4 linked regions of the Drosophila melanogaster genome follow. The protein of the gene in region 1 interacts with the protein of each later gene in a pairwise test. Each region holds a gene or a part of one and is shown in the gene's direction. Other genes may lie near its edges. The genes, in order: CG32450, Syx6, CG14232 and CG12158.

Evidence for each region.
Region 2: the proteins of CG32450 (region 1) and Syx6 interact in a two-hybrid assay, tested with the Drosophila melanogaster proteins (one large-scale study listed by BioGRID).
Region 3: the proteins of CG32450 (region 1) and CG14232 interact in a two-hybrid assay, tested with the Drosophila melanogaster proteins (one large-scale study listed by BioGRID).
Region 4: the proteins of CG32450 (region 1) and CG12158 interact in a two-hybrid assay, tested with the Drosophila melanogaster proteins (one large-scale study listed by BioGRID).

The regions. Positions count from the first base shown.
Region 1 is NT_037436.4:22,327,355-22,331,251, forward strand, and holds CG32450 (uncharacterized protein), read left to right. Parts: upstream 1-2,423; 5' UTR 2,424-2,539; coding exon 2,540-2,803; intron 2,804-2,862; coding exon 2,863-3,075; 3' UTR 3,076-3,303; downstream 3,304-3,897.
Region 2 is NT_033778.4:11,217,869-11,222,933, forward strand, and holds Syx6 (syntaxin 6), read left to right. Parts: upstream 1-2,065; 5' UTR 2,066-2,455; coding exon of another isoform or gene 2,456-2,490; 5' UTR 2,491-2,512; coding exon 2,513-2,753; intron 2,754-3,059; coding exon 3,060-3,761; intron 3,762-3,915; coding exon 3,916-3,992; 3' UTR 3,993-4,470; downstream 4,471-5,065. Other genes in the region: CG9084 (uncharacterized protein), read right to left, coding at 1-295, 338-514, 1,215-1,299.
Region 3 is NC_004354.4:19,701,384-19,706,609, reverse strand, and holds CG14232 (uncharacterized protein), read left to right. Parts: upstream 1-2,350; 5' UTR 2,351-2,471; exon of another isoform or gene 2,472-2,547; 5' UTR 2,548-2,591; coding exon 2,592-2,721; intron 2,722-2,779; coding exon 2,780-3,207; intron 3,208-3,412; coding exon 3,413-3,877; intron 3,878-3,936; coding exon 3,937-4,356; 3' UTR 4,357-4,622; downstream 4,623-5,226. Other genes in the region: CG14230 (uncharacterized protein), read right to left, coding at 268-434, 497-1,604, 1,671-1,960, 2,022-2,199; Tcs4 (Threonyl-carbamoyl synthesis 4), read left to right, coding at 4,882-5,066, 5,122-5,226.
Region 4 is NT_033778.4:9,361,811-9,364,830, reverse strand, and holds CG12158 (uncharacterized protein), read left to right. Parts: upstream 1-1,924; 5' UTR 1,925-1,941; coding exon 1,942-1,995; intron 1,996-2,049; coding exon 2,050-2,181; 3' UTR 2,182-2,257; downstream 2,258-3,020.

The DNA.
Region 1 (3,897 bases):
GGAAGGGAAAGTGGCCTCAAATGTGCTGTCAAATCCTGCACACTGCGAGAGTGGCAAAACTGCAGGAAACTAAAGCAATTCCAAATGGAAAACTGCTGCAAATTAATCAAATGCCTTTGCAGTACGGAATGGAAAGAGCGAGAGGAAAACGGTCAAAGGACAGGACTGGCAAGCAAACACGAGAACGTCAGTCAGTCAGTCAGCCAGTCACAAAGACACAGGCGAGCGATAAAAGCCAAAGCCAAAGGCAAGCAACCCTTTTTCCGAATCGAAACCAAACCAACCCAGCCCAACCCTTCAATCTGCACACACACTAGGGTTGTATATACTTATATATCGTAACGCATTAAATCGATAACACGATTTTTCAGCACGCACACAGCTCCCCGTCGAACCCGTACTGAAATCCAAAACAACTGGTTGACTGTGAGTTAAATTGTCAGTTTCATTACGTGGCAGCTTTCATAGCGTCTTTTGCTGTCTGCTTCCTGCCCCGGAACTCCGGAATGTTCCTTGCTTTTTTAAAGCCAAATCACTACGACTGCGCGTGAGCGTTCCCCGTCACTTCGCTTGCAGTGCGACAAGCGATTTTTCAAGTTGCCGCTTCATCGTTCTGCGGAGCTGCTTCTCCGTCTTTTTTGTTCGGTGCGGTTTCGGGGCTCTGCGTTCTGGGCGCCAACAAGTTCAATTTTCGGAAAAGGGCAGGAGCGCATCGAGAGCGGAGAAGCGAAGCCCCTGGGACTCCTCGAAACCGGCGAGTCGTGCGTTCTTGAGAACTTAAGGACCTCGACGCTGGTGAGTTCAACAAACATTTAACTGATTGCCTGGCGTGTCTTCGTGCCCAGCCCTGTCTGATTTTTTGATTTGCTATACACCTGGGAGCGGGACGGCCCTTGGCCACGAAAATGTTTAGCTTATTTGTTAGCGCTGCAAAATAAATTGTGTGTGCGTGCGGTAATTGTAAATTGCGTACGGGCAGACAGACAGTGGCGATTGTCAGTGGAGCAGCCGAGTTATTGGCACCTCTCCAACGTACGGGTATGCCATGAATTTTTGATCGAACAATGAGTGGATCGAGGGTTGCCACCTTTTGCCAATACGATGAGGTTGGCGAAGGCAGCAACAAACTAGGCTTTTGATTGCAAGTCCCCATCCCCATCCAATCCAATCTCGTTCCGTACGCCCCCAGCTAAGCCAATTCAATCAGGGGACCTGCCTGCAACCCTCTGAGTAATCCACTTTTGGCCTCCCGAAAGTGCGCAACAATTTCTTTTAAACTTCCTGCTGACACAAATCAGACCGAGGCCATAACTCAAACTATCTCCACCTCCGCTCGGCTGAATCAATAACCATAAACCGAAGCTCCTTATGCTCACGTGGAGGAGCCGCATAAAAAGTATGCCACATGCTCGGGGAAATCACTAAATTCAGCCTGAGGCAACGTGTACCTCATCATTTATGTGTGGCAGGGGCAAGAAACGGCGAGCCCGAAAACCAAGCAATGCCCACCTTCATAACTGAGAGTGCTTATCACGCCCACTTCCCCTTGATCCCCTCCTGCCGATACCGCCAACTACCGAGTACCGACTACCGTCTACATGTGACATTTGCATGCTTACTTAAACAGCAAAAAGCAGCATCTACGACAGCCACGTCGAGCTTGGCACGTCTGCGTCAACTATACTTTACATTTCGGCCAGACTGGTTTCGGTTTCGGTCTTGGTCTGAACCAGATGCTCAGTTGGAGTCTAGGACCCAGAAGGCCAAAAGAAGGAGAAGGCCCACTAGTGTTGTCAGTAGGCAGTCACAATCCTGTCGACGTCACATCAGCACACGTGTGTAGTAAAAATCAGACGTGTGGGCGCTGCTCGAGGAGCACACAGGCCTTGGCAATGTCGAGGCGCTCTAGTTGCCGCAGTCGATTCGAGTCGAGTCCTGCCTAGTCCTGCCTCCATGTACTTTGATTGCTTGCACGTTACCCGTACAATTTTCGGTATGATGGCGGCAACATTTCATGATTTCTTGTACGTGTTTCTGGCAGTAAGCACGCGTCCTTTCCTCTGCCGCGCACACCGTGTCCTGCGACCCTGGTCCTTCGCCCCACATCTATTCCGGCTCATGGGTTCCGGGGTAATGTATGCAAGCACTTTTTGTATATGACGCCGTTGCGCTTTGGGTCCTCGTCGTGTTTGTTTGCCTGGTGACTGATGATGGTTTGGCTGGTTTTGCTCAGCTCCCACTTTAGCTTCATTTTCCACCGCCACTTCTGTCGCTAGTTTTTCACCAGCAGCATCGATTCGAGCGTATGTCCTGCTAATAAATCAATGACGCCATTCCGGGGCTCCCAAGTAGGCGATGATTTATGTCTGGCTAAAGGGTTTTCACGAATACCGGGCCTAATTGAGTTGCCCTTGATGGATCAGTCATTTTTAGAGTGCTGCTTGTCCAGTACCAAGTAGAAGTCGCTTTAGAACAATCTAAAATTCGACGTTGCTGTTTTTTTTGGTTTAACATTCTCTATATACATTTTTTTAAAAATATGGATATAACGGTACCGCCGCCGGACTCGCACTGGTCGTTGAGGTTTGTGGACATCGTGAAGCCTTTTCCAAAACATACTTTGGCCAATGCCACTTATAAGATCATTCGCTTCTTTTACCCACCCTTTGCCCTGGAAACCGTCGATGTCACCCACGTGGTCAGCGATCCCGAGCTGAATAGTTTAAACGTGGGGCTGTTTGTGGTAGTTCCCTTAATTCTGGCCTGCATCGGCTATGGGGTGTACAAATATGTGCGGAGTATGGTAAGTTTTGTGCGTGGACCTATAGCCCCTGACCTCTGACCAAGTCTGACCTCGAGCAGCATACAGTGGCTAAACGGACACCATTAAAATTGTACGAGCTTGAACAGCGTATGAAAGACAAGTACGGTCCGGAATACAAGCAGGGAATCTGGAAGCGAAAGGACATTTCTGACCCCCTCCTATTAACCACTGATCCATCCGAACCAAAAGCAAAGAGATGTGAAAGCAGCAATGCCCACTGGCTGCGCAAAACCGATAGATCCGATGATTAATTAAATCAACACTCAGTTGGATCCCCACTCGGATATGACTGGGGATCTTAAAATCGAGAATCGAGGAAAGTACCTTCTCGAATCCAACCAGGCTTTGTACCCTTCTAAGCAACAAAATCGATATGATCCTTCAATTCCGTTTAATGATTGAGACCTTTTTTGCGACTGGAAAAGTGTCAGCTTTGGGCTTTCTCGTTTGGCGCAATAAAATGAAGTGATTGTTTGGTTTTTTATGTTGCAAAAACACACTGAACCCCGCAGAGCGAAGGGAAAGACATTGCACATAGGATTAGGTGGGGGTTTTGGGGCCAAGTCCTGGGTAATCATTTGGCAGCGCATGTGTCGGATTATTTTGTTGGTTTGCGTTTTATTTAAATTTGCTTCTTTCGGCTGCCTTTTTGCTCGTGCGGTGGTTGTTTGTCGCCCGAAAATCTGACAGCAGCTGAAAAGCATGCTAAGCTTCGTGCTTTCTTTTTGCTCTGGCTCAAAGCAAATTAATGATTTGCCATCAAGCAAATAAATCAAAAGCTTCAAAGCAGATCTCTGGCTTAGCGCGCTGCGCTGTGGTGCGGTGCGATGGGATCCTGGGGCTGGCTGCGATTTAAGTCCCTTTCATCTCGGCCTGCTCCACTTTAAAGCCAGTCCCGAATGCATAGTTTTATTTCGCAGCTATTTCCACTCAACTAAGCGCATGCATTGATGATATATCCCCTTCCGTGTGACACCCCTTCCCATTGACATGACATAAATAACCGTGTGAGGCTGTTATAATTTATAATCCTTGCTCTGGACCCCCAGCAACAATAATACCAACAACAACAA
Region 2 (5,065 bases), on another chromosome or scaffold:
ATGAAGGTGGGCGACTGCACCACTTTACCCAGCAAATTACCAGGTGGTATCCAAATTTCTAGACTTTTTGCCTGGCAGCACATGGATCCCATCGCTAGTTTTTTGCGAAAAACCAGAGCTTCCTGGTGCGTTTTATCCAGCAGGTGCATCTGAAAGGGTCGACCAGCTCCCCAAAGTAGTCGATTTTTTTCTGTGGAACTCTCGTTGGCCGCGAAAATGGCATCACCCAGTGGAGATCGCACCACATATCGATTCTCCGAGGAGACGCCTGTTAGGGCTGCAAAGGGAAGACGAACTATTAGAAGCGATTTTAGCTAATTTTTGGGCTTGTACTTACCATCGTTAAGCTCAAAGGTCTGTTCAATATGTACGGACGGCAGATCTGCTAGGCAATCGTATCCGGAAAGTGGGATAAGCGTCCGGCTTCCCGTAACCGTGGCAATTGGCACTGGCAGCGGGATGCGTGGAGCCTCCGGCCTGGGTTGTGAGGTAATGCTGATATGGGAGTCATAAACTGAAGAAAAACAAACAAATCGTATATAGACCATTTTCCAATACGAGCAGAATCGTAAGGTTGTCCATATTGTTATCTTTGAACTAAGATTTTATAAACCTTTTCCATATCTTTAGGGTATTACAAACTTTTCCATAGATTGAATTTTGAAAGTTTTTAATATTTTAATTAAATTTAAATTTCATTTAAAGTTGTAGTTTTAAGATCATAATTTTACAGTGAATTTGAATTAAATAAAAATGGTTGTTGAACATTCTGCTAATAATAGCTCTGAGTAATAGCAATATTATTGAAAATATTTTGTGGTTATAACAAATCGTTTAGATTAAAACTTTAGTAGTTTTTCGATTTTTTCATAATCTTGTCACATAAATATTTTATTACTTTTCTTGGAATAGGAAAATGTTGGTATAGGATACAGCTAATATCATGGGTACGGTTTTACTATCGGATTGATCGCTGGGTTCGATCGTCCCAAACAAAGGCACTTGAGGAGTCGCAGACCATAACAAAACGCTGGCCGATAAGATATAGCCAACTTGTGGCCGCATTTTTGCGTCGAACTGTGTGACACACTCGCTCGCAACAATAATTAATCCGGTGCACTGCTTATCAGTTGGTAACAATTCGGTTACCCTTTTGCCAGGGTGATTCACTCGCTGTTTTTATTCGTTTTCTAAAGCCATATGCCCTAAATTACCTCTCGGTTCTGAGAGACTTGGCTGCTGGGCCACACGGATCTCACTGTCGTATTGCAAAGTGCGCACCGCGTTGTTTTGCAACATTTCGCCAGCACTTTTCAAACTTATTTGACGGCGGTCTAAATGAAATTGATAACGGTGGTCAGTGGGGCAGTAGCACAACGGAAGTTAAGTGCTTTGTGCCCCTCGCCTGGTCACACTTCCTGACTCAGATGATTTTAATACTCTATTACGAACGTTCTCATGTGAAATAGTAATAATAGCTTATTTATAGTGCTATTTTGTAAACTTTAATTCATGCGAATGTTGCAGGTTTTCAAAATATTCGTTTATGCTGCTCAAGCTGAATGTGGATAAATATATATTCAAATCCAGAGCTGCCACCTGATTCAAACTGTTTAGTAACGTATTTTCTGCACTTGCGATATATACTAAATTATCGCGGGATAAACGTGCTATCGCACTTGGGTCATACTAAGCCTTACGGTTTATTTTGCTAGCAGCAAAACAGAAATAAAACCTTTACTTAAATTTATTTATCAGAATTTGTCTCGTGTGAACTTGAAATTAAAGTCCGTCACCGTGTTCTCGGACCGAAGTTTGCTAAATGACGTGGAGACGAGCAGCAGGTGAGCGAGCGATGAAAATTGCAACAGTGCTGGCCATTTGGCCGACGATTTGTTGTTGTGGAATTTTTTGGCCAAAATTCGGGTTGTTTTCAAATCGGTTAGTCAAGGGGTTGGTAATCAAGGAACCAAAGTGCGCAGCCGCTGGAGCGGGAGCGGCGTAAACAAATGCCAGTGGGGTAGTGGTTCTCGGTGGGGGCTTAATCTCTGGAGCGCAAATAGCGACAGTGTTCTCTGGGCCATCGGTGGAACCAGCTAAGTCGGCGGAATCCACAAGAAATCGAGCGATAAGCGGCGGAGCGGGTCCAAGTGCAATAATCAATAAACGTGCTGTTCAAACATCGCTGCTAGGCGAAAGATAAAACCCAGTCGATTGTGAAATTCCTGCTATATAGAACGGATTGAAAGCAAAAATTTGCTCCCCATTTGCTTGCCTTTTGATGTAACTCCCACGAAGTGCTTTTGCTATTGCCAACTTGCAATTTGCCCCCTTGTACCTTTGGGGGGTGGTTTTCGCCCGGAAAAATCCATGAAAAGAACCGTCAAGTGCGCCACGCTGGTGAAAAACTGCTAGGAGTGTTAGTTTTCGTTTTGTGGCAAGAAGAGAACGCGGCATGTCTCTGGAGGATCCGTTTTTCGTGGTCAAGGAGTAGGTGTCCCCGATTTGGCAGATGGCCACATGCACTGCTGGTGGAAAGTGCTATCTTACTTATATCTCTGTTTTTTCTTTCATTTCCCTCCCCTTCCCCAACAGCGAGGTATTCAAAGCTCTGAACAAAACCCGCGGCCTCTATCTGCGTTGGCGGGAGCTGGGCGAGAACGGCGGAACGGAGGCTGAATGGACCACCACCGAGCTGCGTAACTCGCTACGGAGCATCGAGTGGGATCTCGAGGACCTCGAGGACACTATCAATATCCTTTTGCAAAGACCATTGAAAAATCAATTCGTTACCTGGTACTCATTTATCGAATTGCATTGTCTGTTTTATTTTCGCATAAAGAGGTTGAGATCCCATTTAAAATTGCTGAATATGCAATTTATTCGTGATTTAATTCGCTCGTTTATTAGTATTATACTAATAAACTGTACAGAACTTGTTTTTTTGGCACTATAATTGTAAAAAAAGAGTACTTGGTATCTTAAGGTCGGTAGAACCGACTTTCTAGCTCATCAGTCTCCTCGGTTTTCTCCTTAACCCATACCATTTTGACTCACACGCATCGTTGAGAAGAATCCAAGCAAGTTTCGGATCGACAACCGCGAACTCTCCAGCCGGCGCCACTTCATCGACAACACTCGCGATGAGGTCAAGCAGATGAAGGATAAGATGAGCCTGAACCGGAGCCGGGACAGAGACATCACCGCACACCAGCCGCTGCTCGACAACGATCGCCACAGCCCCAATCACAATCATTCCATTGCCATACCCAATTCGAATTCCAACTCCAACGAGTACCATCAGCATCCACACAACGATCGCACGTACCTCGTGGAGTGTCCCAACGGCAACTCGCTGATCAATAGCGGCAGTCAGGTGGCCAATACCATAGCTGGGACCATGTCGGCGGCAGCGGCAGCAGCATCCCGCCACAGCGGCACCAAGTACTCCAAGCTGGAGAACGCCCTGGACAGTCCCAGTCACTATGGGCAGACGCATCACGGCGGCATGGACAGTCCGAGTCATAGGTACGTGGGCGAAACAGTGTCCATACAGCAGCGTATGATCCAGGGACAGGATGAGCAGCTAGACATGATCAGCGATTCGATTGGTACCCTCAAGACGGTCTCGCGGCAAATTGGCGTTGAGCTCGATGAGCAGGCCGTCATGCTAGACGACTTTGGGAACGAGTTCGATACCACGGAGTCCAAGTTGGATACGACCATGAAGAAAGTTGCCAAAGTCTTGCACATGAATAATGGTGAGTGGTGCGGCACTTGTGGTATTCAAGGACTATTTTGATTGAAATATTAATGAAGAGTAAATGCTTCAGTGAACCACAATCAAAATTACCCATTGAATACTTTTGTGACTTCTGATTCCTAATTCTTAACTGTATCCATCTTCTTTCACAGATAAACGACAGTGGGCCGCCATTCTCATCCTATCCGGACTGTTATTGTTTGTGATAATTTTGTTTATTATTTTGTAATTGCTTTCGTTGTTCCCAAATCGTTTATATTTAGTGTAAATTAGATTTATTTATGACTTAGCTTGCTTTTGAATTCGGGCTCTTAATTACAATTCCATGTAAACTCCCTTGCTGTATATACACGGAAACATTTTAACCTGATTTATTACCAGCCGCCTCTCTCTATATATATATAATGTAATTCCAAAGCTACGGACAAATGATCATGTAAAGTCAATGTAGGCGGGTAATAAAAGATAACTAACTACTTACATATAAACCAAGTGCTCCAGAGTTCTGTCATTCCCAATTTGGCCAAAGGATACTGCAACTGTAAGCTGTATATACATCGAAGGATATATCTGCATATATATACATACAAACAAAATGGACCTACCAATATCAAACGAGTTATTTAACGAAGAGTCTTAGGAAATTTCACTAACCAAATCTAGCAAAAACTTGTATGCAATTGAGTAAATATATATACTTATAAATTAAATTCCTAATTTAAAGCCAAATGAGGTACTTCTTACGGGTCACCTAGAAATACTGTATGAGTGCACAGAGAGAAATTGTATACATATACAAAAATTTGTTCGCTATTTTGAAAGCCTAAATTAAACAAAAATTGGAAATACAAGCTTTCAAATTTTTTAATGTTTTTAAGGATAGTAGGATTAGTCAAGATGTTATCTTCTGATAGATCAATGATTTGGAAAATGGTATTTAATACCAAATTTTTCTCTGTGCACAAGGAGAGGGTATCAGGCCCCTTCTCATGTTCTCTCTGCGCCCCAAAACCACTCGACAGCCCACTCGATTTGCCCACTCACTCAGCTGTGTTGCATGCTTTTGCCCGGAGCTTTTTGGCGAGCTTACAGTCTGCGCACAGTGGCGCAACCAAAGGGGTATCTTCGAAAGGCTTGAAACATAACCCCTACGGGGAATCCGGACTACGCCACTGGGTCACAGCATAAGCACACGGGCAGAGCGGCACGTTTCCATGTGATGTTTTTCGGGTTTCGGCATTCAGTGTTGTTTGCCTTTTCCGCGGAGCTGGAGTTTTCCCAGCAGTTGGCATATAGTATATA
Region 3 (5,226 bases), on another chromosome or scaffold:
TCACTTAATTAGCTTTTAGTTAGGCGGAATCCCACCAGCGGATGCCGAATGAATCTCAACAGAGCCGGATTCACACCGCTACGATAATCTAGTTGGAGCTGCAACGGGGCTCAAATGCATTTGTGCAGTAACTAAAGCACAAACATTTCATTTTTTTTTTTTGTAATCTAGATGAATACATGTACCATTTACAAAAAAAAAAAAGAACAATATTGGTTTATTTTACACAGGATTATGCTTAAGACTAAGGGTATAATTTAACCTAGATCAGTTTTTTCCCTTTTTATTCCGCTGCAGCTTGATATCCTTGCTGGGCAGGCTCTTCTTCGCCTTGGCGATCTTTTTGGTGATCAGCAATTTCAGGCGGTTCTTCACTTGGTCATATTCGGCATGGTCAACCACCGCCTTCGTGGACTTGAAAAACTTGGCGCCCTCTGCAAAGAAAAGACGATCGCTTGTTGAGAATGAAAAAATACGCACAGATTCACGTTCTTACCCTTGAGACGAGGATCGTTTCTGGGTATGAAGAAGGACTCCAATTTGTTTTTGTTCCTCTTTTGACCCGACTTCTTCGCTGGCTGGGCCTTGTTCTCCTTGCTGACCTCAAGCTCCTGCTCCTGCTCCTGCTCTTGCTTCGGCTTTACTTCGGTTTCGTCTTCGCTGTCGGACGAGTCGTAGGAGAACGGATTGAGAGTGGCCAGTCCGAGCTTATTGGCAGACGTCTTGCCCACCAGGATCTTCTCATGGCCCAGCTTCTCCAACTGGTCCTGGCGCTTGGCCACCTCCTTCTCCGGTGCACTGCCGAACATGTCCAGCAGGCTGAAACCCTCTCCACGCGTGTTCAGCGAATCCCTCAACGTGTCGGTGACAATGTAAAAGGCCGTCTTCGAGACGGCTGAAGCTTGACTGTTGCCCGCGTCGGCGGTCTTGGCTTTCGTACTGGAAGTCTCCTCCTTCTTCTCCTCCTCCTCCTTGGGCTGCTTTTGGCGCATTAGCTTCTGATGGCCCTCCTTGGCCGGATCGAAGCGCAGCATCTTTTTGTTCTTTGGCGACTTACCGTCCTTATCGTTCGCACTGGTGATCGCGTGTCCCACAACCTGCTCCAGAATGTTCATGTGCCATTTGCGCTCACTCTCCTCCGGCTCAGGCTGATCCTCCAGCTCCGCCTCTTCCTCCTCGTTCACAAAGTTCGATGTGATGCGGAAGCGGGGATCTATACTCTGTTTGCTCTGCATCTCCACCAGACGCTCGCCCTTCTTGCCCTTATGCTGCGGCAGGACGATCTGCTCCTCTTCCTCATCGTCGTCGTTCTCGAACAGATCCCGCTTTTGTATCTTGGCTTTCTGGACGGGCTTGGACGCCTCCTCCTCCTCGGCGTCGCTGAATTTTATTCTCTTTGCCTGACTGCCTTCGACTGATATCACAGATAGCGCCTGCTGGATGGCTGACTTCTTTTGTTGGTGTCCCTGACGCATCTTGTTGAGCGACTCCTTGCGCTTCTGTTCCGCCTGGCTGACATTGGCGTCCGGCTTCTGTTTGGCTGCCTTGCGGTGCTGTTCGATGACATGGAGTGGCTTCACGTCGTGCTCCTGCTGGATGACAATCTGTGGGAAAGGAAAGGAAAGGAATTTAGCTGACAATGAGCTTGGGAACAATGAGTGCGTGCATACCCGGCCATTGTGCATGGAATTGGCGGCGCGCTTCTTGGTAATCAGCAGCTCTGGAGCGACCTCATCATCACCAATCTCCTCATCCTCTCCGAATACCCTGCGCTTGTTTTGGCCACTTTGCACCAGGAGCTGAGAGCTCGGCGCACGCACCTCGGACTCGTCTGGCTCGCCCTGTTCCCGGCGCTGGTTCTCTTCGCGTTCGCGCTTCAGTCGATCCAAAAACGATTCTTTGGCAAGAGAAACTCTTAGCTTTTCGCCGTGCAACTTCTGCCATTTGAGCTCGTTGACGCCTACAAAACCAAGCTATGGTTACTCCTTCCGTCTGGCTGTGATCTTCCGCGGATAACTTACAGTACTGGGCATCATCCGTCTGCACGGTGACGAAGGCAATCACCTTAGTGGCCCCATCCTGCTCCTTGCGCTTCAGATCCACGTGCTCTACGTGACCGTAGTCCTGGAACAGGATCTGCAGGTCCGACTCCGAGGTCCTGGTCGGCAGATCCGCCAGGAAGAACCGAGTGCTGCCCATATTATGTTTACGCTTGCAATGCACGTGTAGAATCCAAATCCCGGCAAGAATTGCTGTGGGCCAGTGTGACCGCGGGCAGATAAAAACTTACACTTAAATATAGCCACAATTCCAATTCCCAATTGCTTTATACAGGTTTTTAACAAGTCCAAGCAACACTAAACCAGCTTTCAAATTTATTTAGCAACTTTGTAAATAGGCAAATACATTAAGTTAGACAAAAATAATCCCCATCGGTCAGTGTTGCAAGGCGAGCAATACAATTACTTTAGGTGCGCAGCTGGCTGGTCACACTGGCAGCAGACGTCACAATAAATTCTATTATTTTGTTTTGTTTTGTGCGAAAAGTTTGCAGGCCAGCAATCGTGGACTAGCCCACAAACAACGGCAGCATGGCGAGCGGGACAAGCGGCACAAGCAGCAGTGAAACGGCCCAGTCGACGGACATGGCACCATCATCGGCCGAGAAGTGGGGCTTCCCTTTGATTGAGCTCTACCGCCTGGCATTCACGTTCTACAAGCGTAAGAGCAGAGATCCCGGCACTAGCGCACCAATAACGGCTAATCTCACATATTGCAGGGAACTCCGGCAAGGCCATCCACTTGTCGTACGAGGACAACCTCAAGCTGATCGCCTTCAAGCAGCAGGCGGCGCTGGGCCCCTTCAACACGAGTCGCGCCCCGGCGCTGGGCGTCCTGGACGTGATCGGACGCGACCGGCAGCAGCACTGGCAGCTGCTCGGTGAGATAACGCGCGAGCAGGCGATGGAGGGGTTCGTCGACCTGCTGGACACAATGTGCAGCGCCTTTCGGCCGTACATTGAGGCCGTGCGGCAGGACCGCGACGAGACGCTGCGCAAGGAGCTGCGCCTCATGGAGGAGAAGAAGGAGGCACGCGAGCGGCAGGAGAACGCCCAGCAGGAGCTGCTCGAGGAGGGTTACAAGGAGGAGCTGCAGCGCCGCCAGCTGCAGGACGCACTCAACAAGCAGACTTACCAGCAGTTTAAGGTAGCCCATCGATTTTTTCAACAACACACCGGCCCGGCCCTCTGCACCTGTTGTTGTGCTAAATAATGCATGATAATTACTGGGTGCTCGGCCTTGGCTGCGCTGTCTGCCATTGAAAAGGGGTCATGACCCAGTTCTCAGGCAATTGCATGCCAGCTCCTGTACCATTAACTTGGCCCTTCTAACGCTTACACTCGTTCCACAGCTGTACGCTGAGAAGCAGTTCCCCGGAAACCCCGAACAGCAGGCCGTGCTTATCCACCAGCTGCAGCGGGAGCACTATCACCAGTACATGCAACAGCTTCATCTGCAGAACCAGAACCAGAATCAGAATCAGAACACGGAGGACAAGGGACACCAGGAAGCAGAACACGTCCCTGGCAATAACAACAACAGCTCAACCGACTTGCCCAACGCCATGGAGGGACTGAAGCTCGGTGAGGTCGAGACACAGCAGCACCAGCAGCTGGCCGAGCAGCAAGACGGGCATGTAGAGCAGACGTTGGAGGGCGTTGGGCAGGAACAGCACGGCGAGGAAGAGTACGACGACTACGTTATGATCTGCCCGGCCAAGATCTGGACTCGTCCCGACATCGAGCAGTTTAAGACTGAGGTGTCCGCCGGCGATGGGGACGGCGTCATCACCATTGGACACGGCGACACGGTGACGGTAGGTGGCAATCAACTAATGACGAAACAAGGCCCATATTGACCGGCACAATTTTGCAGGTCCGTGTGCCCACCAACATGAACGGCAAGTGCATCTTCTGGGAGTTCGCCACGGACAGCTACGACATCGGCTTCGGCATCTACTTCGAGTGGGCCAAGCCCGTGACCAACGAGGTGACCGTGCATGTGAGCGACTCCGACGAGGACGAGGATTGCGTGGACGAGGACTACCTATCCACCACCGAGGACCTGGAGTCCGGCTCGCTGTCGCAGGAGCGCGGCGCAGTTAACAACCCGACTGCTGCCCCCAAGGCACCCATTTCCATTATCGTACCGATCTATCGACGGGAGTGCTACAACGAGGTCTACGTGGGCTCCCACTCCTATCCGGGCGAGGGCGTCTATTTGCTGAAGTTCGACAACAGCTACAGCATCTGGCGCAATAAGACGCTGTACTACCGCGTCTACTACGAGCGTTAAGAGGCCAAAATGTATTTACTTACCACTAACTTAGATGAATCCTATCTCCGTACGAACGGCTAATGTGCAAGTCCGGAATAATCTGTATGTGCGTGTGCGTGAGGTTTTGGTTTTACGTGTGCGTTGCTGCAATTCCGGGAAACAAGCGGCGGGAAAAGACCATGCCGATTTCAGACTAAACCAATATTATTTATTATTTAGTTGTAACCGACGAAGACAAGTCCAAAATTCAATTTGAAACTAATAAACAATATAAAGACAACTGTAAATAATCACTTTTCGAAATCTCTTTGCTTCTTAATGAAGAATAAATTATTCGTAAAATTCACTTAGGAAACTTCTTCATACGACACAATTGCTATTACCAATTTTGGGCATTGAAACAACTATTATTATTATTTTATATTAAATAAAAATTGCATTAAAGTATAGTTAAGAATTTGGCTCGTGTAAGGGGCCCTAACACTAACGGTCCCACGATTTGCTGGTTGTGGTTTCTATCGGTGCCTGGTCACACTGGCCATTATGCATGCACTTCGTAATTTTGCCGGCAATGGAATAGCAAATGTATTTGGCTGTGGGATCAGGCGCCGGCTCAGCTATGTCCTGGGCATCGAGACCTCCTGCGACGACACGGGCATCGCCATCGTGGACACCACGGGCCGAGTGATTGCCAATGTGCTGGAGTCGCAACAGGAGTTCCACACCCGGTGAGTGCTCACATCTCCGCATGCGGTGCCCAATGATGAACTGAATCGATTGCAGCTATGGAGGCATTATTCCGCCCAGGGCCCAGGACCTTCACCGCGCCCGCATCGAGTCCGCCTACCAGCGCTGCATGGAGGCGGCGCAATTGAAGCCGGACCAACT
Region 4 (3,020 bases), on another chromosome or scaffold:
TAATTCGGGGAAAAGTTTTGATAAAAATCCTATTATAAACATAAATAAATAGGCTGGCCAGAGGCAGAGGCGGAGTGCTTTGCGCGGGGGGGTCAAAGGACAAAGCAGTGACTGTGCAAACAATTGTGAGTGTGCAAAGTGGAAAAGTGGGCGGGGCCGTTGGTAGTGAAAGGTAGTGGCAAAGTCAAAGTCAAACAATGAGGCAGCCAACTGTAAAGGACGAGGGCTGAGACTTCATTAGTGCTCATCCACAATGTATGCTGGTGTCGTCTTGCTACCCGAATTTACCGCCCTCCTTCCCCCATATGGCCATCCAAATCCTTGGCTATTCCTCCGTCGTCCTGAAAAGTGCCGAAATGGTTATAAGGCGTTATGGGTTCGCCACTCGCTTGCGGTTTATTCAGCCGCTCAGTTCGCGACTATGGGCATATTCAATATTCATATTTCGCTGTGGCAGGGACATTTATTAACCGAAAAAAACCCACACAAGTACACAGTAAGAAATCTGCACAAAGTCGTTTATAATATTTTTAAAAATTATTTCTGCAACTGCTTGCATTGTTGTTACTATCATACGCATATGTATGTTTCTTATAGTTTATTTTAATTTTTCAAAATTATTGTAATAGAGTTCTTAGAAGATTAATTTCAAGAATGCCTCCCAACTTAACATTAGAAATTACCTATACTTGTATCAATTGTAACTAAATAATTCAACTATATGCACTTCCTTCAGTCTGCAAACATCGATGTGCCCATAGGTGGTGACAGGTGAATCGGCGGGCGGGACCCATCGTTGTTGTGTAAACTAGAAAGTCTTGTTTCTGTTTGGCCAACGTTCGGCAGAATTTAATCTCAAGCTGAAACCGAAGACATTTTGCCACTCAACGCTCGAAAATGCCGAGCGAAATTGCTTTGCCCGACCATGCCCCCAAGGTGATGGCGAGGGGCAAGTGAATGGGCGGTGGCAGTTGGATGGCAGGTGGATGGTGGGTGGTGTGCGAATCTCTTTCAAAACGTGTAGTGTCAGTCAAAGAATGGTGGCATATGGGTGGCTGGTGTGTTGGATTGTTTGAGCATACGCTCAAATTAAAAGACCGAGCAGCAATAGGAAATCCAGTTTGAATAATTGACGGTTTACTCTGCCTAGACAAACTTTATGAAAATGTAATAGTGCCTAAATGAATTGATTTCGAAAGCTTCGTAAAGTGCGAGGCTAAGGAAATTTAATATGCCACTTGGAATATTTTAGGAAAATAGTTTACCAAGACAAGATACAAAAAACCAGAGACAGTGTCAAAAGTATCGAATATCAGATACCTGTTACTCCGACTGCTTCCGTGAGTGCACACGAGCTCCACCTAGTGGTTATTTTTCAGTAACTGCTTATGACGCTCTGATGTTATCAAAGATAAAACGCCCAAATATTTTATAATCAATATAGCTTTTGAAGTCAGAGTGTGAATCAGATCGCTATATGTTGACTTATAAATTCTTACCATCCAAGTTAATTTTTCGCAAAACGTATTTGTTTTGGCGTGTCCAAAATGTTATTAAATTTAGAGCTCAATCTATACATTTTTAGTTAATTATAGCTATGATATGATGACCTTAGTGACATTTGAGAGATATTCTGGCTAATTTTTTCAAATTTGTTTTTCCAATTAAACAGCAAAATGATGGCTCCCCTTTGGAGTTATTTTGTCGTTTTAATATATTGTATATGCGATCAGATCGGGTCACACGCAATTACGACATTATAAATCAGATTCGAGCGAGCAAAATAATACAGAATGGCATTATTAACATACAAACTGATTTTGCCATTTTGTTCACTGCGATGGTTAATTGCACTGGATTATAATCTCTTGGGAACCGCAGTTGTGCTGTATGACTATAAAAGACCACATGTGTTGTTAGTTTACTAGTTTCAAATTCAACATGAAGCAGTTCGCATTGTTCAGCATCTTCCTTCTAATTCTGGCTGTGGGTTTGGTAAGAGTTGAAGGGTTTTCAATCATCCACTTGGCCTAACCAGAGGTTTTCCAGGCACAAATGCCGCTGCAGGTGGCCGCCCAGGGCCAAAATGGACATTCGCAGGGACAGCCGCCAAGACCGCCAAATGGCAATGGAAACGGCAACCAGCAGAGTGGACAAGGACAAAGCGGGCAGAACAACTAGAACTGGGATATTTCTGGAGGGGGACACACACCTCCTCGCCACTTTCCCAGTTACTTAAATAAACACTTTCCCCAGCAAACTAAAAACTTCGTTTCTTGAACCCCGTAAGCTTAGAAAGGCAAGCTCGATATTAATGGTCAAAGGGAAAAGAGAAATTCGAGGGTAGAATCTTAAAGCAAATTGAAATCGAAGGGAAAATAACATGACTGAATAGATTTGTCATCTTAAAGGCTCTGAAAACTTCCACTATCAGTTGAAAATATAGGCCCGCGTTTCTGTTTATGTATGTGACTAAAAAAAATGTTATGTTTTACACAAGTTCTTAGAGCCATATTGTTTTACAATTGTTATACACTTTTTTTGTATATTCATTCTCCTCCTCGCTTTGTGTATTTGCACTGCGTCTGGGCCAAGCCAATTTGGAAAACTTTATTAATAAAGTGCACAAATTATGAGCATGAAACTCACCCCTCAACCCCGCGCACATGGCCATAGGTCCATTCCGGCTGATGAGCCAGGAAAGGGGTTACAAAGGGGTTTCAATGCCGGGCTATTCGGAGCGATGGAAACCTACAAAGCGCAACTTCTTCAGCGACTTGTGTTCTACATTCTGTGAAAATGCAAATGCTTATTACTCGTACCAAAGGAGCTGTGCCGCCAGGCAGTGCATAATTGCATTATGACTGCCGGAGTCTGGATGCAGCTAACCCTCTGTTCAAAGTCGCCGGAGAACCCAATCCCCTCCCAACCGACATCCCTTGCAATTCCCGGAAAAACACCTTCTAAGCCGCTCTACTTCAGCAACTGAAATGCAGCCATGTGTGAATGCACCTCGGAGA